Xenopus tropicalis: one gene and its partner. The protein of the gene in region 1 interacts with the protein of each later gene in a biochemical or structural test. Links are inferred from orthologs where the notes say so. Each region holds a gene or a part of one and is shown in the gene's direction. Other genes may lie near its edges.

The links.
Region 2: the proteins of grwd1 (region 1) and rpl11 form a complex in vitro, tested with the Homo sapiens proteins (2 studies listed by BioGRID). The link is inferred for Xenopus tropicalis from reciprocal best matches to the Homo sapiens genes GRWD1 and RPL11.

What each region holds. Positions count from the first base shown.
Region 1 is NC_030683.2:114,827,447-114,838,370, reverse strand, and holds grwd1 (glutamate-rich WD repeat-containing protein 1), read left to right. Parts: upstream 1-3,740; 5' UTR 3,741-3,760; coding exon 3,761-4,004; intron 4,005-4,427; coding exon 4,428-4,545; intron 4,546-5,115; coding exon 5,116-5,281; intron 5,282-6,111; coding exon 6,112-6,325; intron 6,326-6,493; coding exon 6,494-6,636; intron 6,637-7,850; coding exon 7,851-8,048; intron 8,049-8,616; coding exon 8,617-8,934; 3' UTR 8,935-10,724; downstream 10,725-10,924. Other genes in the region: tsen34 (tRNA-splicing endonuclease subunit Sen34), read right to left, coding at 10,876-10,924. UniProt on the Homo sapiens protein: Histone binding-protein that regulates chromatin dynamics and minichromosome maintenance (MCM) loading at replication origins, possibly by promoting chromatin openness.
Region 2 is NC_030678.2:90,768,231-90,779,443, reverse strand, and holds the start of rpl11 (60S ribosomal protein L11), read left to right. Parts: upstream 1-4,803; 5' UTR 4,804-4,808; coding exon 4,809-4,814; exon of another isoform or gene 4,815-4,877; intron 4,878-5,891; coding exon 5,892-6,039; intron 6,040-6,529; coding exon 6,530-6,636; intron 6,637-8,026; coding exon 8,027-8,158; intron 8,159-10,882; coding exon 10,883-10,993; intron 10,994-11,213.

The sequences.
Region 1 (10,924 bases):
AAGACCCAACACCCAAGCACATGAAAAGTAATGTGGTCTATGCTGTCCAGTGTAGTGAAGAGTGCTCAGACTTATACATTGGGGAGACAAAACAACCTCTCTGTAAGAGAATGGCCCAACATAGGCGGGCAAACTCCTCAGGACAAGACTCAGCGGTCTATCTACACCTCAAAGAAAAAGGTCACTCTTTTGAGGACAGTAACGTGCAATGGAACCATTGTGATTGGATGCCTGTGACTCTACTACCATCAAGAGTTTAAATACCGGGGAATTCCCTACCAGTCATTTGAACTGAAGAAGCCACTCAGATGAGTGGTGAAACGGTTTCAAGAAAAACTCAGAAAAGTCCAGTTGTTTTAGACTTAATTCTACTAGATACTGTTTTTCATTATGTTTTTAGGCAGCACAGGAAGAGGTCGCCAAGCGAGCAGATCTGATATCCCCACCTATAGGTGGGCAATTTCGGGCCAATTCAGGCTAATTCGGGCCCCCAAATTACTCATTCCTGGTTTCTGATTCTTGGTCTGTTTCAGACTTCTGGTTTGATGCCTTCCCAGATCCTGGCTATTTGTGGACTTAAGTATTCTGAATCCATATCCCAGCTAAATCTTGTTTTGGTTATTCCATATTCAGATTCCTCTTTAGACTCTTTTAGACTTTCCGGAACGTCTGCAACATTGCAGATTTGAGGTTTGGGCAAAACAAAAATGCCACACTGAGACCAGACAAGAGGTGTGGGAAAAAAAGTTTTTTTTGTGTTTATTTTTAAAGAGCAAGATGTTAAGCAAACACAGAATTCTGATGCCAAAACTTAAGATGGTTCATGACAAGGACATATTTCACATTTTTACAGTGAGAAAAATCCACTTCAGATAGGTATTCAGTAATATAAAAGAAGACTATCAAATTTGCAGAATCCCCAGTAAATATGTCTCTTCTCCTCTTCAGAACTGAAAAAAAGCTTTAGATTGTTTCAAAAGGATATACTCTGCACTGTTTCTGGTTCCCAAACCTGAAGGGAAGGTCAGAACTACCATAAACCTGAGATACCTATACAAGTTTATACAATGGCAGAAATTCAGGATGCAACTCATAAGGTCAGCAGTAAATTTCCTCTCATTGTCACCATAGGCCTGTAAGATGCATACCTGCACGTTCCATTTTATCATCTTATATGATAGGAAAACTCATTTTCTGCTTGATGACTTTTGACAACCCTTAAGCTTAGCTTTTCACCAGCTGCACAGAACTCACTGAGCATGTGCAGTGTCTCTGACACTCCTATCAAAATCCAAATGGGGAGATTACAACTTTGTAGGCCTTGATCAGTACTGTTATAAAGATGTTGAATTTTTAGGCAGATGCATAAAGTATATAAAATATGACATTTCCAGCCATATTCATTTTTAGGCTTTACTCCCACATTTCAGCAATACACAAAAGAGGTGTGTAGAAAACTCTAGCAGACCAGCTCAGTGGGAACATAATTATGACAGGTGAATGGTCTCTCAACCACCAATTTTTCATGTAATAATACACAGGTGGGATGCACTGCAGCTGGATCTGATGGCAACAAGGAAACACAAGAAATGCAAGATCTTCTGCTCCATCTATCGGAAAGCTAAGCCAATACACCGGCATGCCCTTTTCATCTGCAAACTAGGTTAATAGGTTAAAAACCAATTCCCAATCCACATTCAATTCCAGGCAGTAGCGCTTGGATTCTCTCAGCACCCTGAGTCAGTCACTGAGTTCAGTTGCTTTTATATATGGCTGGTGGTATCTGCAGTTAAAGGTATAGTTCATTATAGTTTAGTACAATATACAATGGTAAATTCTTAGCTATTCCTCAACTGGTCTAATTTATAAAAAATTTTTTACATTATTTTGTTTCCTCTTCTGACTCCTAGCTTTCAGATAGGAGTTACTGACCCCCCCCCAGGAGCTTAACACCTATTCTCTGTGAGGCTACCCTTTAACTGTTCTTGTCACTTTTTATTACTTATCTCATACCTCCCAACATTTGAAAAATGAAAAGAGGGACAAAAAGATTTGGTGCGCGCATCGCAGCAATTTCTTGACCACGCCCCCTTTTGTGACCACGTCCCCAAATACCACACCCCTTTTTTTCAAAATATACTCCTTTTATATAGTTGAAATGGTGGGATCAGACGCAAATGTGCTATACCCTCATACTGTTCTACCTAAGGAAAACAATACAGCAACTCCTCTCAAATATAGAGAGAAGGCATATGTGAGTTATAACTAAGTACCAGTTTTGCCCCCCCATACACAGTGCCCCCAATGGTCCAATAGACAGTATCCCCCATACACAGTGCCTCCCATACACAGTACCCCCATACACAGTGCCCCCATAGACAGTACCCCCAAAGACAGTACCCCCATAGAAAGCGCCCCCAATTGACCCCATAGACAGTGCCCCCAATTGACCACATAGACAGTAGCCCCCATACACAGTGCCCCCATAGAAAGTACCCCCTTACACAATGCCCCCATAGTAAGTGCCCCCAATTGCCCCCATTCACATTAGCCCCCTTACACAGTAGCCCCCATACACAGTAGCCCCCATAGACAGTACCCCCATACACAGTGCCCCCCATAGACAGTACCCCCACAATAAAATTTTTACATTTTGCTCTCATAAGGAGCACTGGGGACCTCTCCACTCCCTTTGCTGATTTACAGATTATCACCCCACTCCCCCATAAGGCTATCCCAACTTGACTACTGTAACCTGCTGCTAACCAGCCTCCCTAACTCCCATCTTTCTCCCCTACAGTCTATATTAAACACCGCTGCCAGAATTCTCCTCCTCTCACCCAGGAGAGTTCAGGCCCTTCCCCTGCTAAAGGCCTTATTGTGGCTTCCTGTTAAACAAAGAATAGTTTACAAACTCCTTCTCTTAACCTTCAAAGCCCTCCATTCCTCTGCCCCTCACTACATCTCTTCCCTGGTGTCTCCGCACGTTCCTGGCCGACTCCTTCGTTCCTCGCAGAGCAACCGTTTGGTTGCGCCCCCAACTACTACAGCTGTTTTCCGCCTTAAACCTTTCTGCCCTGCTGCCCCTTACATTGGGAATGCCCTCCCTGATTTCCTCCGGAGAGAATCCTCCCTCAGTCTTTTTAAAACTAAACTTAAAGACTCCCTTTTGGAGCACTCACCCAGCACCTGATCTGGGAACTGGCACTTATATTGTAGTGTCACCCACTGTGACCTACAGCACTTATATTTGCCTATTTGTATCTGTAAGTTCCCCTCCCATATAGATTGTAAGCTCTACGGGGCAGGGACCTCCTTCATCTTGTGTTTCTGACTCTTATTGCAACTGCACCTTGTATTTATTTGTATTTATTGTTGTACTTTGTATTTATCCATTATCTTTAACCTCCTGTCTGTATTAATGAATAACCTACTGTACAGCGCTGGGTACATAAGTAGCGCTTTATAAATAAAGATATACATACATATACAAGAAGTATTGCTGCTGGTCTTTAATATATAACGGCCGCCTTAATTGCAAACCATTCTGCGTTTAGTTCTAACAATAGCAAGTAACTAATTAGCTAACGTCTGGAGTGTCTTGTTGCATTTTATTATTGGGTTTATGGGTAGATTTTTACATCTACATTCTGTAGAGACCGCTGCACATCGCCTCCATAGTAATGGCAAGGCGTCAGCGGAAGTAGGTTAGAACACATGGCAGACGAAGCCAGAGGAAGTGACGTCGCCCGATTCCAAGATGTCAGGCACTGGGGAAACCACATGGAGAAATCCCGCAGAGGATGAGGAGGAAGATGAAGGTATGGAAGAGTCGGGCAGCGAGGATGAAGATGACGAGGGTGATATTATGGAAGAAGAGGAGGACGATGAGAAGGACAAAGGGCCCAAGCGGGTCTATTTGCCCGGGATGGAGCCTCTTAAGGAGGGAGAAGAGCTGGTGATGGACCAGGAGGCGTATGTACTGTATCACCAGGCACAGACAGGTAACGCTCCCTTCTGCTCCCCGGTGTTGGGATCCCTTATAGGGGAGCGGTCGGGCAGGGAGGGGAGCGGCGGGAAGTTCAGCGCACAGTCCCGGGCTCTTTAAAGGGCAAGTTACCATGCAAGCTTACCAGCCTGGTCATTTTATAATGATATCTTTAATATATGTTTATAAGTATATAAATAATTCCAACGTGTTCCACAGCACTTTCCATAGGTTATATCTACAGTTATTAGGAATGACTTAACTTGCCGGTATGTGTTGGGGGAGGGGGGCACAGGGGGAACATGCAGATAATGCCCTGGCTGGAATCAAACCTGGGACCCCAGCAATGTCAACTACAAAACTATACTACACGGTTGTCTTGTAGTTTTTTGCTTCTTTGTATGAAAATTAAATGGTTTCTTTTTTTATTGTGTTATAGGTGCACCATGTTTAAGTTTTGATGTCATCCGTGATACCCTGGGGGAAAATCGCACAGATTACCCGCTGACTATGTACCTCTGCGCTGGTACTCAGGCCGACTCTGCTCAAGGCAACAGGTACTAGAAATAGATTATGTACAGGGGTACATAAGCATCATCTGATTTTCTAAGTCTCAAAAGTAGATGAAGAAAACCTCGTTTAACAAATTGATCAATTATATATGGTCGTGTATTTATTGGGGGAAAAAAAAGAATGCAATAACATATCTGCAGTAACATATAATATCAAACATTTGAAATGAACCCCATAAGGCTGCCCAGCTGGGGGCCCACTAGACTTCCAAGTGATTTTTATGGCTCCAGTTTGCCAAATGGCTTTTTGACATTGTCATTTTACTATAATCTGGCCTTTGACCAACACTTCTTTGGCCTGTAGTTCATGCAGTATCAGACTGACTGACTGTCAATATCTGACTGACACTTAGTAGGCAGCTGTTCATTTTAGCAGCTGTAAAGCAATTACTCAAGCCAAGGTCTGCAGAACAGAACTGATGTCTTCTGACTTTGGTCAAGTTGTCTTGTCTTTGTATCTTTTATTCACCAGAACTTACTGTCAGTTCTACAGTACCTGAGAATCCACCCAGCCTGTATAAGGAAGTGTAACTCTTTTTCCTCTCTTTCTTATAGGATGCTGGTAATGAAAATGTACAATTTGCACCGTACAAGCAAGGAAAAGAAAGATGATTCCGATTCTGAAAGCAGTGACAGTGGCGAAGAAGAGGACGAGGAAGAAAAGAAGCCTCAGTTAGAGCTCGCTATGGTGCCTCATTATGGTGGCATTAATAGAATTCGCGTAAGTCGGGTTGTGTTCTCATATTTGTTTTTGTCTTTATAACTTTGCCATGTTTAGGAAAAGATATACAGGTATGGGACCTGTTATCCAGAATGCTCAGGACCTGAGGTTTTCTGTAATTTGGATCTCAGTAAATCATTTAACCATTAAATAAACCCAATAGGGCTGTTCTGCCCCCAATAAGGGGTAATTATATCTTAGTTGGGATCAAGTACAGGTACTGTTTTATTATTACAGAGAAAAGGGAATCATTTAACCATGAAATAAACCCAATAGGGCTGTTCTGCCCCCAATAAGGGGTAATTATATCTTAGTTGGGATCAAGTACAGGTACTGTTTTATTATTACAGAGAAAAGGGAATCATTTAACCATTAAACCCAATAGGGCTGTTCTGCCCCCAATAAGGGGTAATTATATCTTAGTTGGGATCAAGTACAAGCTACTGTTTTATTACAGGGGAAAAAAGGAAATAATTTTTAAAAATGTAAATAATTTGCTTACAAGTCTATGGGAGATTGCCTTCCTGCAAATTGGAGCTTTTTGGATTACAGGTTTCCTGATAGCAGATCCTATACCTGTATACACTAAACTAGGAAGTGCTGCCCTATTGCGACCTCTGCTGTGGTATACAATACTGTTGTTAGTAGTTTTATTTGTAAATGTCAGACCTGGAATGCTCTGCAACATTAAAGGGAAACAAAATGTTAAAAAAGTGATAATCTAATATATATTTATATACGAGTAGATCCATATATGTGGTATACAAGCAAATGTGAGCTTTTAACTACTTCTGTTTGTTATATTATCATTGGTTTGTCTCTGCTTTTAGGTATCTACAATGGGGGAAGTACCCGTGGCTGCTGTCTGGTCAGAGAAAGGGCAAGTGGATATTTATGATCTAAGGAAGCAACTGTCGGCTGTGTCAGACTCTCAGGTGCTCGCTGCTTTTCTGAAGGAGGAACAAGCCAAAATCAAACCAGTGTTTTCTTTCTCCGGGCACATGACCGAAGGGTTTGCAATGGATTGGTCTCCAAAAACAGCAGGTACACCATATCAAAGTTATCCAAAGTTTAAGCCTCAAATTCCCATGAGTTGTTATTGATTATAAAGGCTTGGTAAAAATGCCTAATGGTACATGAGCTGCTTTTAAAGGTTAAACATCAATAGTTTGATTCACTTAGTCTTCTACTTCCCTTTCACTACCTCTTTAGGGCGCTTGGTTACTGGTGACTGCAATAAGAACATCCATCTGTGGGATCCAAGAGAAGGGGGAACGTGGCATGTTGACCAGAGACCATTCACGGGCCATACTAAATCTGTTGAGGATCTTCAGTGGTCTCCTACAGAAGCCACGGTAAAGAACATACACTGTCTTATAGTTATTCTAGTGATTGTAATTTCTTTCGACCTGCGACCTTGTGCTCCTGTTCGCTGAAGACTCCACCAGCCCAGAGTATTTGTGTAGGAGCATCACACCCCCATCGTCTTCCTGTTCTTCGATTTTCTCTGCGACCCTGGTCTAAGTGTATATGCTCGGTAGAGAGAAAAGCTGAATGTAGAAGTACAAAGCTGGGTTTTCACTCTGCTGCATATGGGCACCTGGCTCAGGGCCACAGAAGACAGCCAAGAACAGGAAGAAGGTAATGGCAGCCACTAGTGATTATGCCTTAACTTTTCCTCTCTGCATCCTTTGACTATACACAACAAATATAATCTTCAAGACAAGAAGGGAGAAATGTAATATAAGTTGCCCGTGGACTTGCACAAAACACTGCAAGACCTTTAACCACTGCCTATTCCAGAGTAAAGGTGGCTGTAGAGGCAGATTTAAGCTGTTGTTTCGGCAGCTTATCTACTTGTGTATGGGGCCTACCTCTGATACCTTGGCGAAAATCGGCCACGTCAATAGGGAAGGTGTCATTTTCTCATCAGATTGTCCTTGTCCTAATGGCCGGTATCCCTGTCGTTAAATCACCCACCTTAGGTGGGCATATTGGGGAAAGATCTGCTCGGTGCCATCCTTGCCTAACAAGCAAGCTGTAGTCCTTTTCTACACTTTACAGTCTACTGGAATACGCTGGTCCTTAAAGTGATACTGACACCAGAAATGAAACCTTTTTTTATAACATTGTCATAACATTGCCTTTGCATGCTATTTATAATTTTGCCATAAAAGTATTTGTCCAAGCTTTTACATTCCCTGTCTGATCCCCTATGTTCCTCTATAAGGGGGCTGCCATATTTGTCCAGCAGGGGGCCGTTAGCATTAGAAGGGACAGTCAGGCTGGCAAAACAGTCAGGTTTTGGGATTTCAAGTAACAATTACTTACAAAAGCAAACCTATCAGCAAAAAATGATCAACATGACCTATAGGCAACTTTTCATGTAGATTCATATTTTAAAAAGTTGTTTTTTCGTGTCAGTATCACTTTAATGTTTATTAATAAGTAAGCAAAATCATGTACTGACAAAGTATCCTGTTGGCTTTTGGTTTAATAATTATGATTTGTTTTTTATGCTTTCATGTTAAATGTATAAGGGGCATCAAAAATAAATCTATCTGTTTAGGTGTTTGCCTCGTGCTCCGTTGATGCTTCCATTCGTATTTGGGACGTCCGAGCAGCCCCTAATAAAGCCTGCATGCTGACTGCCAGCCAAGCCCATGAGAGTGATGTCAATGTGATCAGCTGGAACCACCAAGAACCTTTCATTGTTAGCGGAGGAGATGATGGTGTCTTAAAGATCTGGGACCTTCGCCAGTTCCAGGTGGGTTATGGCCTGGGCATATATATGTACAGATATACAATATATTAGGAACCATTAGATGCTGCTGTAAGAGAGGAGTCCATTGAAAGAGATTTGTCTACATGGATTGGTTACTGGAGCCAAGTTGGTTCTGGCTTTGTATATTGCTCCTGTGTGTGCACTTATTTCTTTTGCACCCTATGTTATATATTTGTCTCTGGCAACGCAGGCAAAAAGTTTATGGAATTGGATTGAAGGGATGAGCTATCAATACTTTAATAGTCCAAGTTCCCATTATTGCTTAGTCACGTGATGAGGTATTATTAATTGCTATGTATAAGCAAAATCTAAAGTCACAGATGGTTTCCAGCCTTGCTAATGCAGTGAAACTGGGTATTCATTTACATTTGCAAACAATCCAAAAAAGTAGAAATGTACTTCCATATACAGTAAAAGCCTTGAAGTTTGTGTATGTACATATTTTACATTTTTTTTCTGTACAAATATACAATTTTTATTTTTTTTTGGTTGGAATGATATATGTCATAAAAGGAACTGACTTCAATAACAAGTTTTCTACCCATAACAGAAAGGAGTGAGCGTTGCCAAGTTCAAACAGCACACAGCTCCAATCACGTCAGTAGAGTGGCACCCAACCGACAGCGGCGTCTTTGCAGCGTCGGGAGCCGACGACCAGATAACACAGTGGGATCTTGCAGTTGAAAGAGATCAGGATCAGGAGGCAGAAACAGAAGACCCAGCATTGGCAGGCATCCCTCCCCAGCTGCTGTTTGTCCATCAAGGAGAAAAAGACATTAAAGAACTTCATTGGCATCCCCAGTGCCCGGGAGTAGTCGTCAGCACAGCCCTGTCCGGCTTTAATGTTTTCCGTACGATCAGTGTGTGATGTTTTTACTGTCCCACTTGCTGCACAGAAACCTGCAGTTGATTCATGTTTTCTAACAAGTACTGAAAGGTTAACCATGGTCAAGAAACCACCATAACTTAAAAGACTGGAGACTGATAGTGGCCTGAATGGTATTGCAGCAGTAATAAATAGCATCACTGTGGCTTACAAAAATCACTCAGAAAATATTGGCAAGCTGTTGTTTTTCCTCATCAACAATGTCTGTTCTAATTAAGCTTGTGTGAATACTTCCCCATCACTCCGCTGCAAATCCTTACTAGCCCCTACACAGTGCTGACTGGCCAACATTTTAAACAGTCACTTTAAGTTTAGCTGAGCTTATACCTAAATGCAGCATATACTGACGATGGAACTACTGCAGCTGCAATAAGCAAATTTCTATTTGCGAATTTGTTAAAAAAAAAAAAAATGCCAGAAGTTAACTGTCCGGGTTAAGTATTTTTGAAAATCTTGGTAACATACTTGAATATATACCCTTTTTTTTCCCCACCAAGAACCAGGGCATGGTAAATATTAAAGTCTTTTTAAAAAGGTAGTTTGCCTCTTAATTGGGCACATATTACTCTAAAATTGCAGGCTAATAGAGCCACCACTATGGCTGAGGGAAACAATAGTTAAAAAAAAAAAGAAAACCTCAGTCCCTGCCAGTGCTAGGGTGCCAGCACTGGGAGGGAGCTCTTGGTACAGGCGGCCATGTTATTAAGCATGCATATGAGGGAGACTCCCCACTCGCTCATTGCTCACATGCTTGTGACATTGGAGCTGAGGATTCTCGCCAATGTCACACTCTCGTTATGCGCGTGCAAGTGCCACAACATGGCTGCCCAAATACTGTAGGGGGCTATTTTTTAAAAAACAAAACAAATTTGTTTCCTCCAATCGGAGTGTAGGCTTTACTAGCTCTCACCTGGTGCGGGAAGCAATTTTAGGGTGCCCTTTAAGTTAACTTTTAGAATGTTATGTTATTTACAACTGAATTATTCTTCACAGTTGTTTGTCTTCCTCTCCTCATCTGGTTGTTACTGACCCCAGCAACCAACTGCATTGCTCTATGAGGCTTCAGTTTTACTAATTGTTATACTTTCCATTTGGGCCCTCTACTATCTATTCACTAAACTGAACTCGTTCAACCAGATTTTAAAGCTAAATAATTTACAAACCATGAGACAAGAGTCCAACCCAACTGTAAATTATCTGCATAAGCATCTACATCAGTGTCTCTTTATCCTAAATTAAAGCTGTGACCCAATAGTTAGTTTAGAACCAGTTACATGCCTTGTTTCGATTATTTTCCAGAAAGAAATGAATGTCACATTATAAAAGTGATCATGAAGACACAGGGACACGATTTTGGGTCCTGACCCATAGGTTCAGAATCTCTGCAATAAGGCTAATACCACACCAGGCTATTACTCCGCCTACATATGCTAATGGAATGTGTCCAATATACGGTCTATGTAACCTACAGATTGCAAATTATAATTTATATGAAAGAAAGTAAGTATTTTTAAGAAGTTTTAGGAAACAAGTAGGGCTATGACAACCACAGGAAGTGGAATAAGCGCAATCCCCCCTTCCGTCATCAGAATTTACATAAACATGTTGCAATATTTTTTATTACAAATAGCCTATATTTGATAACTGATACTTGATAGTCTCCCTATAAATAAATACTTGCTCAGTGTATAGAAAGCTTATTACTGTGAAGTCCTGATTTTATGGCCACTTGTAAACATTTTCAAAGAATAAAAACAAACCATTTTGTTGTATTTTTTTTTTTTGGAAAAAAAAAATGTCCATTTAACAGACCAGACAAATAGTTTTTCGTTTGCCTGGCAAACCTTTCAAGGATAGATTAAGGACGAGTACTGGCATCCTTCAGAAGGTGTTTATGGCCAGTGTCAGGCTTTATTGTTGGTTTTATTGTAAGCCTGACCATTGCAAAGATGTGAAAGTCACTTCCCCTCCC
Region 2 (11,213 bases), on another chromosome or scaffold:
TACATATTGGCTTGAAGTCAGCCTGGGTCATTAATCTAGATGAAATGAAATTGCCTCCGGCCCCTGAATCAATAAGGGCTCTTGTTTCAATCTGCTTGCCTGCTTTCTGCAAGACAACGAATAAAGTAAAATATTTAGTATTCTTTAAAACATTAGGGGAGACATTACAAATCTGGGGTACATCTGCTATACCTTTCATGGACTCATTCCTTTTAGAATAGGTTCCACTGGGTTTTTTGGGACACCCAGCCGAAAAGTGACCCTTCACTCCGCAATACATACTGAGGCGCTCGGCTCTGTGCTGATTCCTTTCCTCCAAAGAAATAGGACCCCGGATAAATCCCACTTGCATAGCTTCATCCCCTAAAGCCACATCTTGAGAGACCTCACCCTGACCAAGGCTAGTAATAGGTGTTGGCAAGGGCCTTCCAGGTTTCTCATGGAGCCTCTCAGTGAGACGCCTATCAATTTTGATGAACTGGATAAAGGAGCTTAGGTCCTCTGGTGCATCAACTCTTGCAAGCTCGTCCTTGATTATATCTGTCAAGCCCCTCCTGAAATGGAAGCTTTGCGCAGTCTCATTCCAGGAGGTATCTGCCACCCACCGCCTGAAACTAGCGGCATACTCTGCCACAGTCCCCCGCCCCTGGGACAAACCAAGTAAGGCAGCTTCAGCTGTGGCCACACGGTTTGGGTCATCGAAGATAACCGCCATGGCCGCTAGAAACCCATTAAAATCAGACAACAAGGGGCTTTGTTGTTCAATAAAGGGAGAAGCCCAATTTAAAGCTTCCCCAGACAAAAGTGTCAGGATCAGCCCCACTCTATGGGAATCAGTAGAATACTGCTGGGGTTGCAGCTGAAAAATTAGCCTGTGTAACATGGCTGCTGAACCTGTGCTTGCAGACTAGACATAGCTTGAAACATTGATGCAAATTGTTGAGACAAATCCGCAATAGCTTGACTGGTCTCAGCTGGATCCATTTTATGGCCAGTTCAATATGTTATAAGGCAAAAGTTACACTATTACTGGATCCCCTTGCTTGAGACCCAAAACAAAGTAACAAGTCTGACGCCTTGCCAGCAGGATAGCTGCTAGGCTGATTTGGAAACAATTGTAACAACACACACAGCTCGGCTCCTGGGTGCAGCTGCTGGCTTACAAACAGAGTAACAAGTCTGTAACTTGTTGGCAGCATAGGCAAAAGCTGCTAGGCAAACATTTTGAAACTATTGACTACTCACAGCTCAGCTCCCAGGTAATGCTGAAAGTTTGCAAAGGTACTAGGTGTGTGAGAGATTTGATTGAACTGGCAAAGGGGAGTGCACGCAGGGGGTTTAAGAAACCTATGCCTGACTCTGATAGGCTGCGTGGCCAATGCATGTTAACTCATTCCTCACCAGCTAGCCAACAACTCACCCTGCAATCCTAACTGATCATTAGTTCAGTTTTTGTTAGGTTCAGTTTGAGGTTGGGTTGGTTAATCCAATTAGAGATAGCCAGGAGGCAGTTAGAGATTTGACTCTCAGTTTCAACTGTTAACGAAGGGGTTGAAAAATAAATTTGGATATCATCGGCATACAGGTGATATTTAAAGCTGAATGAATGGATAAGATCTCCCAAAGACAGCGTGTAGAGGGAGAACAATCAATGATAGAAGAGAGCAGGGTCAAGAAGGTGGGAAGGGGTTAAACTTAGGAAAAACTTCACTGACCCCCAACAAACTGAATGAGTTAGCACATTAATTAATGAATATATGAACTGCTTGTTATAGAGTAACATCAGCTATTTATATTGCACAAACAAGGGGCATGACCAAAAACATTTTGGGACTGCATGCTTGTGTTCATGCCTTACAAAAGCCTGTGCAGAAGGCATGTGCAGAAGGCTCTCCACTTCGACTACAGTAGTCAAAGTAATGAGAGACCTGAACAGGAAGTGGGGGTGGAGCTTCACGCTGAACAAAGAAGGAGAGGAATCGAGCAGCTTGTAACTCAGGAACCAGGTCAGAGAGAATGAAGGGACAAAGGCAGACAATTCTGGGATGCTATTTAGAGTAATTTTAATAATAGAAAAAAAAGGTTTACTTATTCTTTTAGAAATGGAAGATATGCAAATGATGATCAAAAGTTTATTTGGGAGGGAATATTGTGCCATCTTTCTGATTAAAGTAAATGATTAAAGGAACAGTAACACCAAAAAATTCAAGTGTATAAAAGAAATTCCGATATAATGTACTGCTGCCCTGCACTGGTACAACTGGGGTGTTTGCCTCAGGAACACTACTATGGTTTATATAAAGAATGCAGCTGTGTAGCCACGGGGGCAGCCATTCAAAGGAGAAAAGGCACAGGCACTTAGCAGATAACGGATAAGCTCTGTAGAATACAATAGTGTTTTATCTGTTATCTACTATGTAACCTGTGCCTTTTCTCCTTTTTTCCAGCTTGAATGGCTGCCCCCGTGGCTACACAGCAGCTTATTTATATAAACTATAGTAGAGTTACTGTAGCAAACACACAACTTTTACCAGTGCAGGGCAACCGTACATTATATTTCTTTTACTTTAAAAGAAATATACTGTTCCTTTAAGTAGGTAGAAGAGGAAAATAGGAAATACCACGTGGAACATTTAAAAAGCAATATTTGCAAGCAGTGCATGTCTTTAACAGTAGTGTGTACTACAAGGTATTACTGTACTCCAGGTGAGGCCTTTGTAAGCTTATTAACACAATTATGCCTTGCTTTAAAGTGAACTGACATTAAAAACTACTCTTCAAAATATGAATGTATATAAAAAGTTACCTAGGTCATATTGATAGTTTTTCGCTGATAGACCTGCTTTTGTAAGTAATTGTTACTTGAAGTTCCTAAACCTGACTGTTTTGCCAACCCGATAACCTGTCCCTTCTCAGCCTGTCAGTTATAGCTTCTAATGCTAACAGACTCCTGCTGCACAAATATGGCAGCCCCCTTATAGAGGAACATGGGGAATTAGATAGGTAATGTAAAAGCATTGAGCAAATACTATATGTAGCATGCAAAGATGTTTGATAATTTTTTATATAAAAAAAAGTTTAAATTTCTGGTCTTAGTATCTCTTTAAATAAATTCTTCTTGCAAAAAGATTGAATAAAAGATTTTTCAACTGGCTTTGACCAGTGCATTCCAGATGTTAATCCTCAAGACCTGTATGTGCTACGTATTATAGGCAGCTGGTTTTAGACAACATACTTCTGATTCAAGTCAATTAGGAATGCACCAAATCCAGGATTCAGATCAGGATTGGCCAAGATTCAGCCTTTTTCAGCAGGAATCGGAGCCAGGCCTATCCACATGCCTGGAATTTGAATCCTTAAAGGACATGTAAAGCCTACATTTGCCTACAATGTATATCAGTTGGGCACATCAACCCAACGCAAATGGCATTATTTGTACTGCATTTATCCCATCCATTTGCCAGCACCATCACATTCCTAAAGCAAATAATAGCTTTCACCCTGTGGCCATTTTTCCTCTGATACATAATCAGTTACATTTAAATCTGCAAACAGCCTACACACACAAAGGTACATTTCATCAAGAATACAGGCTCACACAGGCAGAACTGTCTCTGATAAAAGTTCTGCTTTGTTTAAGCTGAGTTCAGGAGAGAAAGTTAGGAGAAAAAAACTGAAGCAGACAGCTGAGTTTCTATGGGAACTAGCAATGCCATCTCTTTACTGGCTGCTAGACTGGAGGGCGTGTTTAGTAATCTGAGCTTAGAACAACTGAGCATGCCTATAAACCAGAAGTCAAAGCAAAGTCCTGAGGGGGAGGGGGGGAGGCTACAGGAGAAGAAGGAAATCTACATGATTAAGGGGATGTTGCAGCCTTACTATTAACCTCTGGACAGCCAGTGTGGCCAAATCCTTCATAAAGAATTCAAGGTTCGCGAGATCTCAAAATAATGGATTCAGGGCATCCCTAAAGTCAGTGCTAACAGCTATTTACCCCAGGGTGATGCTCCACTCTAAAAAAAATACACCAGCCCTGGGTACTTTACAGCAGAGTATGCACCTGCCATCTCATACTCTGTTCCCAGGACTTCCTTATGATTACTCAACCTGGGTGCATGCACAGTACAGAATTTAGTGAAGTTGTTCTATAGTGCAACATGTGAAGGGAATGCCTGGGAAATTGGAAGAGAGTGACAACTAAGCTCCCTACTGTTAGAAGCCAGCCTAGGGCCCCTAACTGTAGGAATGCCAGCCCAGGTTGGCATCTAGAAGCAATGAGGGCACCAAACAAACTGGAACCCCCGGTTTTTTATTTATTTATTTTACTTTATTCTCCTTTAAATTGTAAGAATGGTTTTTGTATTGCACTGGATAACAGAACAATTACTCAGATTCCGATAGGTGTTTTTACTTCCCACACTAAAAAAGACTACAGAAAATACCTATTATAGACTGAAAAAAATCCAATCCAAGAAATGGTTTATAAAGATCAATACACAAAGAAGCATGATCTGATATTGAAATAGAATCCATTCGTTCTACAGAAAACAACTGATTATTGCACACCCCAAACAATAATATCAAAATCTAAAGGAATAAGAACATCAATTTACCTATAATGTACTCAGTTACTATATCTCAGGGAAGTAAACTCCCATTCCGCTAGGTGAATCCAGTCACAACCCTGATTGTCCGGCACACGTAAAGTTAATCTCATGAGCGAAGTCTCGCTGTGACGTAATGCGTCGGGCCTTACGCACTATATAAAGCAGACTCTGACTTCTCGCGATCTCTTCCCATCTCCCAACATGGCGGTGAGTCTCAGATGTGGAAGCTTTTGCGCCGGGGAATTTAATCTGTCGCCATCAATTTCATAGGCGCGTCTCTATTAAATATACTTATGTAGATCGTATGCTGGCAAATCTGTTCGCTCGATGATCTAGTTATTGTAGCGGCCCGTTTACACTGACAGATTGTTGGAGGATCATTCTGGGCCGGGTGTATACAGCCATAACTGTGTATGCCGTGTATGTCTAGCATATAAGGATCTTTAGAATATGCATAACTGTTTTGGTACACGGTCTGTTATGTTTAGCGTCGACTGTCTGCTCTTATTTGCTGAGCTGCTACGACTTGTTTTATATGACTGCGCCTAGTAACAGGCAAATGTGTGACTTTTAGGCAGGCTGAATCATTAAAATATTGATATGTATGTAGGAGTTTTAAGCACGTTGTGTTGTCGGACAGTATGGGACTCTGGTATCCTTGGTGGTTGGTCAGTGTGTCTGCCTGTTACACCTAACTTGATTGTATAGTGTGTGCTTTTATAAACCTCATAGTAAATCCAGGGGACTTATTAAAATACTTGAATCTTTTCACTGCTTTTTTTCATGTAGACGTTTAGAGGAATGTGGTAATGTTACCTTGGCCTGTAAAATAATGTGTTCTTGGTTATGGGAGGAATTGGGAACTCCTTAAATAAAATACAAGGAAATGTAATATTACAAACTGAAAGCCCCTAGTAGTTTGTGACCTTATGGAAGTTATTCCCTGCTTACTGTCCTGTTGACATCTTTCAAATACATTAAATGAATATTTAGCCTGCTAGTTGACATTATTGTGAACTGTTAAGCCTGTATGAAAGCTGAATTGCAATATCAGTGTAGCAGGCATTTAAGATACAATATATGCCAAAGTATTTGGCTGACTATTTGACCAAATCTAATCTTTTTAAATCTTGGAAAAATTGACCGTTTGCATCTCACTTCCACTCATCCTGCCTCTTAAATTTACATTTCTTTTAGGGTTTGGAGTTCGTTCTGCCCTATTCTTAATATTCAGCCAAATTCTGGATTCATGTATCCCTAATAATTTTTCTTCCCTTCCTCCAGGACAAATCTGACAAAGAGAACCCTATGCGTGAGCTGCGGATTCGTAAGCTCTGCTTGAATATCTGTGTTGGTGAGAGTGGTGACAGACTGACCCGGGCAGCCAAGGTGCTGGAGCAGCTCACCGGGCAGACTCCTGTCTTCTCTAAAGGTAAAGAAACCATCACTTTAATTCTTTTTTTAAATGATACTGTCAGTGATATGTCCCAACATGCCTTCAATAGTAGCTTGCCATCTCATTTACTGTAGATGTCGCTATTGAGCACTGTTACTGCAAGTAACTAAAATTGCAGGCCTTTTACCAATTTTGTCTCCCTTCTGTTCATATGACTGTGCTGTAAATTACCCCTTTTTTTTAAGAGCTTATACATATGGCACCCCTGTAGCATGTGTATTGCCGCAAGGCTATGTGAGAAAATCTATATAGAAGTTTAATAAATACAGCTGAACTGTTGACTTCATATCAGATGGATGTCTAATAGGGAAAACTTTTCAACAAAATCATTTGTTTCTTGGGATTGCTATTTTGTTTGGTGTTATAACCTGTTGACCTAAGTGCATGATTCTTTTCCAGCTGCCCCTTTGTTAGATCTGATACATTTAGCAAAGCTGTGCTCTTACAATAGCAATTTGTTTTGCAGCCCGTTACACAGTGAGGTCTTTTGGCATAAGAAGAAATGAGAAAATTGCCGTACATTGTACAGTACGTGGAGCCAAAGCAGAAGAGATCCTGGAAAAGGGCTTGAAGGTAGGATCCTTGCTAACTTAGTTGCTTGCCTTAACTGAAACCACTGAATTCTACACAACATACCTTTACAACTTGGCTGAAGTGCGCTTAAAATGGCGTAAAACTTGGTTTAGTTTCATATCTGCAGCACAAGTCCGCAATATGGAACTTCATGCTGTTGCAGACCTTGTTTTGTTTGCATGTAACACTGTAGGCACCCAGTGCACTTCAAGCAGTCTGGGTTTAAGTCAACTGTTTGGTGGATTCTTGGACACTTCACCATTTCAGTTGTTGTCCTGCTTTGTAGTGCTATACCCAATGTGTCATACTGGGTAAAACTAAGGCTGAAAAACAGTGTAAGAAGCTGTGTAAAATGGCACACTTGTCAAGGGGTGTGTTTTATGCCACTCTATATTTGCATTTCATGTCATTCATGCCACTACAAACCTCGTATAATGTATTAAAGCCAATGGAAAAAAAATTCAAGCGTCAAGTTTCAGCAGAAGTAAAGAAGTAAAAAAAAAAAATGAATTATGTATTTTCCAGTTTTCAATGGGCAGCTTACATTTACACCAGATTTTGGGGAATGCATTTTCTGAAGATCAATACATAGCTTGATAAAAAAAGACAATTTATGTAGTGATGACTGGAATTGTTTGGTGTATTTGGTCACTGGATATGATAAAAGGCCCCTTGACCTTGGTACAGGGGCATAGCCTAAAGATAGAAGCAGAATCAGCTGTAAGACCATAATTTGTATGCTCCAAAGCGCCAATTATCACATTCACTTTGGACCTGTTGATATGGGATATCGGTCCTTCATAAAATTCTGTATAGTAGTGAAATGTCAGTAATGATAGATTCGACTGTTCAGATATGTAGTTCTAAACTTTTAAGAAGGCAGAAAGTTTCGATTATTGGTGAGGCTACATGATACCTCAGGGTTGTGCTCTTGCAGAAGAATACACTGGCCCAATATATATTCTGAACAAGAGGAGTTTTTACACATCTGTATGATCACAAGCAGGTAGCATTTCCACCTTTCGAAAAATGTAACTGGCTGGTGACTTAAAGGGGCTGCACAGCACCTCATAGGTGAGACAAAGTAGTAAACGGGTGGGTCCATTACTGCATGGATATGCCTGGGTTGATTCTGATTTGGAACTGGAGTTGACTGGGCCTTAAGTGGGCAGAGATGCATCTTAATGGTATTACAAATTTTCCAGCAGTGTACTTGACGGTGAGTATGTAATACCAGCTATGGCTGTTAAATACTGGCCAGGTGGCAACACTACATGGAGGTCTGCTTCCTTTTTAGACTGAGTATTGCATATTTGTTATCCTGCATAAATTAGTGGACAATGTTCTTGTAATTTATAAAAGGTTCCTTAATGATTTTTATTCTCTCTAGGTCAGGGAATATGAATTGAGAAAAAACAACTTTTCTGACACAGGGAACTTCGGTTTTGGTATCCAGGAACACATTGACTTGGGGATTAAATATGACCCAAGCATTGGTATCTATGGATTGGACTTCTATGTGGTATGTGCATCTTGGTAACAGCTTTTTAAGTATATCTAAATCTTGCCATACATATCTAAATTCTGGCTGGATGGTTTGGCTGATTCTTGTGGTTTAAAACCTGGGCATAAAGGTGACCATACACGGGCAGATTATAGCTGCCGATTCAAAGTCTTATTTGGTAGGTTATTTGCCAGTTTATGGGCACCCCTGATGGGCATACCAGACAGATTTTGACTAAAATTGTCCACATCTCGATGGGCATGTTTGTTTTTTCCATTGGATTGGGGATCTGATCATCGATGCAGTCCTCGGCCCACCAGCTCCTATGCCTGCTGGTTTAATTTGATTGTTTGGCCCAAGGGTCAGTCTATCAAATAAGCTAGATATCGCCCACCTTAAGGGTCAAGGGGAAGATCCATTCATTTGGCAACCTTTTGCTGTGTATGGCCACCTTAAATTTTGACAGTCCATCTTAAAATCCTGTTCAGTCAGTCTAAATGGCAACTTACCTGCAGATTCGCCATCTATGCATGTAGATGAGGCATCTGCAGAGGTAAGTGGGCAGTTGCTGCTCCTAAACCGTCTGCTAGTTTAAGATAGAGGCCAAAATAAACAAAAGGGTACTATAGCCAAATTAATCACTATAACCCATGTTTAACATTAGCCGCATAGGGCTTATCAGAGAAAATAGCTCTGTGGTAGCTTGCTTTCCCTAGCTTCTACCTCCTTTCCTAGTTTTACAGATGCAGCCGTTTTATGCTTGCCTTTTGCCGGTTTTAGCTGAACTGTGTAACCGTACCAACACTAAAGTCTCATGTAAAAAGCTAGGTTTGTGTTTCCACTCTTATGGTGAAGATAGATGGGGTGATTAGTTGCTGTGATTTAAAAAAAAAAAAAAAAAAAAAAAAAAGTTGCAGTGACCAATTCCGCTACTAAAGTAGATGTGACTTGTAGCTGTGTTGGTACCTTTGCATGCAGTGATTTTCATATTTGAAGAATGGGTAACATTGCAGTAATTAGTTGCCGTGGCTGGGCAATTAGTCAATGCATCTAGCTTTTTAAAAAAAAAAATTGCAGCAGCTAATTTCCCAGTCTGTCTTTGCCCTTAGAGAAGGGGGGGGCAAAGTCACTGGGAGCAGTGAAACTGACAAGCACTTGTACTTGACATTTTCAGCCTGACACAAGCATTAAGGGTCTGAATATGTTCAGTAATAGGGCTGTCTAACATATGCTAAAAGTGAATTTAGAGGCCCAATGGTGGTTTCAGGTACACTAGTTTGTAGGGGGAAATATGACTTTTTGGTAAAAAAAAGTTCTAGAGAGTGCTATGGTGCCTGCAATGGAAGGGAGCTCCTGGTGGTCATTTAGGTAGTAATACAAAAGAAAATTACAGCACTTGCATTATACGCATATGAAGCATAATGAGCCACACATGACACATAATTAGGGAGCTGGTAAATTTGACCATTCAGTGCATGCATGTAATCAAAGATTGCTACCTTCTGGTGTGGGGTGTTTAGTGCTCTGTAGAAGCATTTATTAGTCAAAATAGTATTGTTTACCCTTATTGGAGTGCTGGCTTTATTAGAAAAAATATCCTGTAAGTTTATATAGTGAATAATGTCCGTATTTTATAACGGGGTACAAGTCACTAAGCATTCAGTGCTTTTAGTACAGGTAAAGGAACAGGGAGTGCATTTATTATAATACACATTTTGTTTAGTCATGTGACAAATTATAATGGATGGCATCAAGCACAGTTGTTGGATATATAATTTACAGGATTTCCATGGCTCTTGTGTATTGTATCCTTCTAATAAAGAGCCATTAATATTCTGTAACAATTTAAAAAAGTGGTTCTCAACCTTCCTAAAGCAGCGACTCTTTAATACAGTTCCTCATTTTGTGGTGACCCCCAACCATAGAGGAGCGGTGTCTCTGTTCCTAGGACCATCGGAAATGTGTTTTCCGATGGTCTTAGGTGAGACCCCTTTGAAAGGGTTGTTCGACCCTCAAAGTGGTCCCAACCCACTGGTTGAGAACCACTGATTTAAAGGATATTACTGAATATTCATGGCTCTTGTTTATTATAAGGATATAATACACAGAATATCCTGTAAGTTAACTCCTTAACGGTGCTTAGTGATGTGCTCCGTTACAATCAAGCCCAGCGATGTATTCTGTCACATGACTTGCTGAAACTTGTGAATTACAATAATGTACTCCTTGTTGTGAAAAAATATATTTAGAAGTCACCATGGAGTTCTGTGACCTGCATGAAAACCTTGTGCTTGTATTTGGTCAAGAAGCTCCTTGGTGACTTATTTTATAATAAAATACTATAAGGGTTTAGCTTTCCATTTTTATTCCCCCCCCCCTTTTTTTTTTTTTTTTTTTTTTTGTAACTATTTGCAATTGAAAGCATTAAGTCTCTAAAGTGCGACGAATGTACCCCCTCCTAAAGAAGTGGTAGGTCAAGGGAGCGTTATACCAATATTGCCCACTTTAGTAAGATTTGCTAAGAGTATATTCGCATGTTAGCAGCAGTGTTAGAGGTGAAGCTCCAGATCCCTTAGTATATATAAATAGTGAAAGGGAGGGAAGGAATGTGTACTTCATGCTTTATAGCTGTGTTCTTAAACATTGAGTTGACAGTGCACAATTACTGCAATGACTGTAATGAAATGCAAACTTGTCAGCCTTGATTTTTAAATAATTTTTTACCAAATTTAATATTCACAGGTTCTTGGCCGACCAGGATTTAGCATTGCCGACAAAAAACGCAAGAGAGGCACAATTGGAGCAAAGCACCGTATTGGAAAAGAGGAGGCAATGCGCTGGTTCCAGCAAAAGGTAAACTTTCAGGAACATGCAAGAATGCACAAATAAGTTGGAAACACTGGTTTATGTACTAATACTCTACCAATCCCTAGCTGTTCTTGAGTTCCAGCTCATAAGACAGTTGGTAATTCCCTGGAAGGCACAGGGTATGAAAGTGGTTTAGATTCAGGTCAAATGCTCGGCTATTTTGCTGCAGAATAAACTGCACTTCTTTTGACTTTGAACCTGGGAC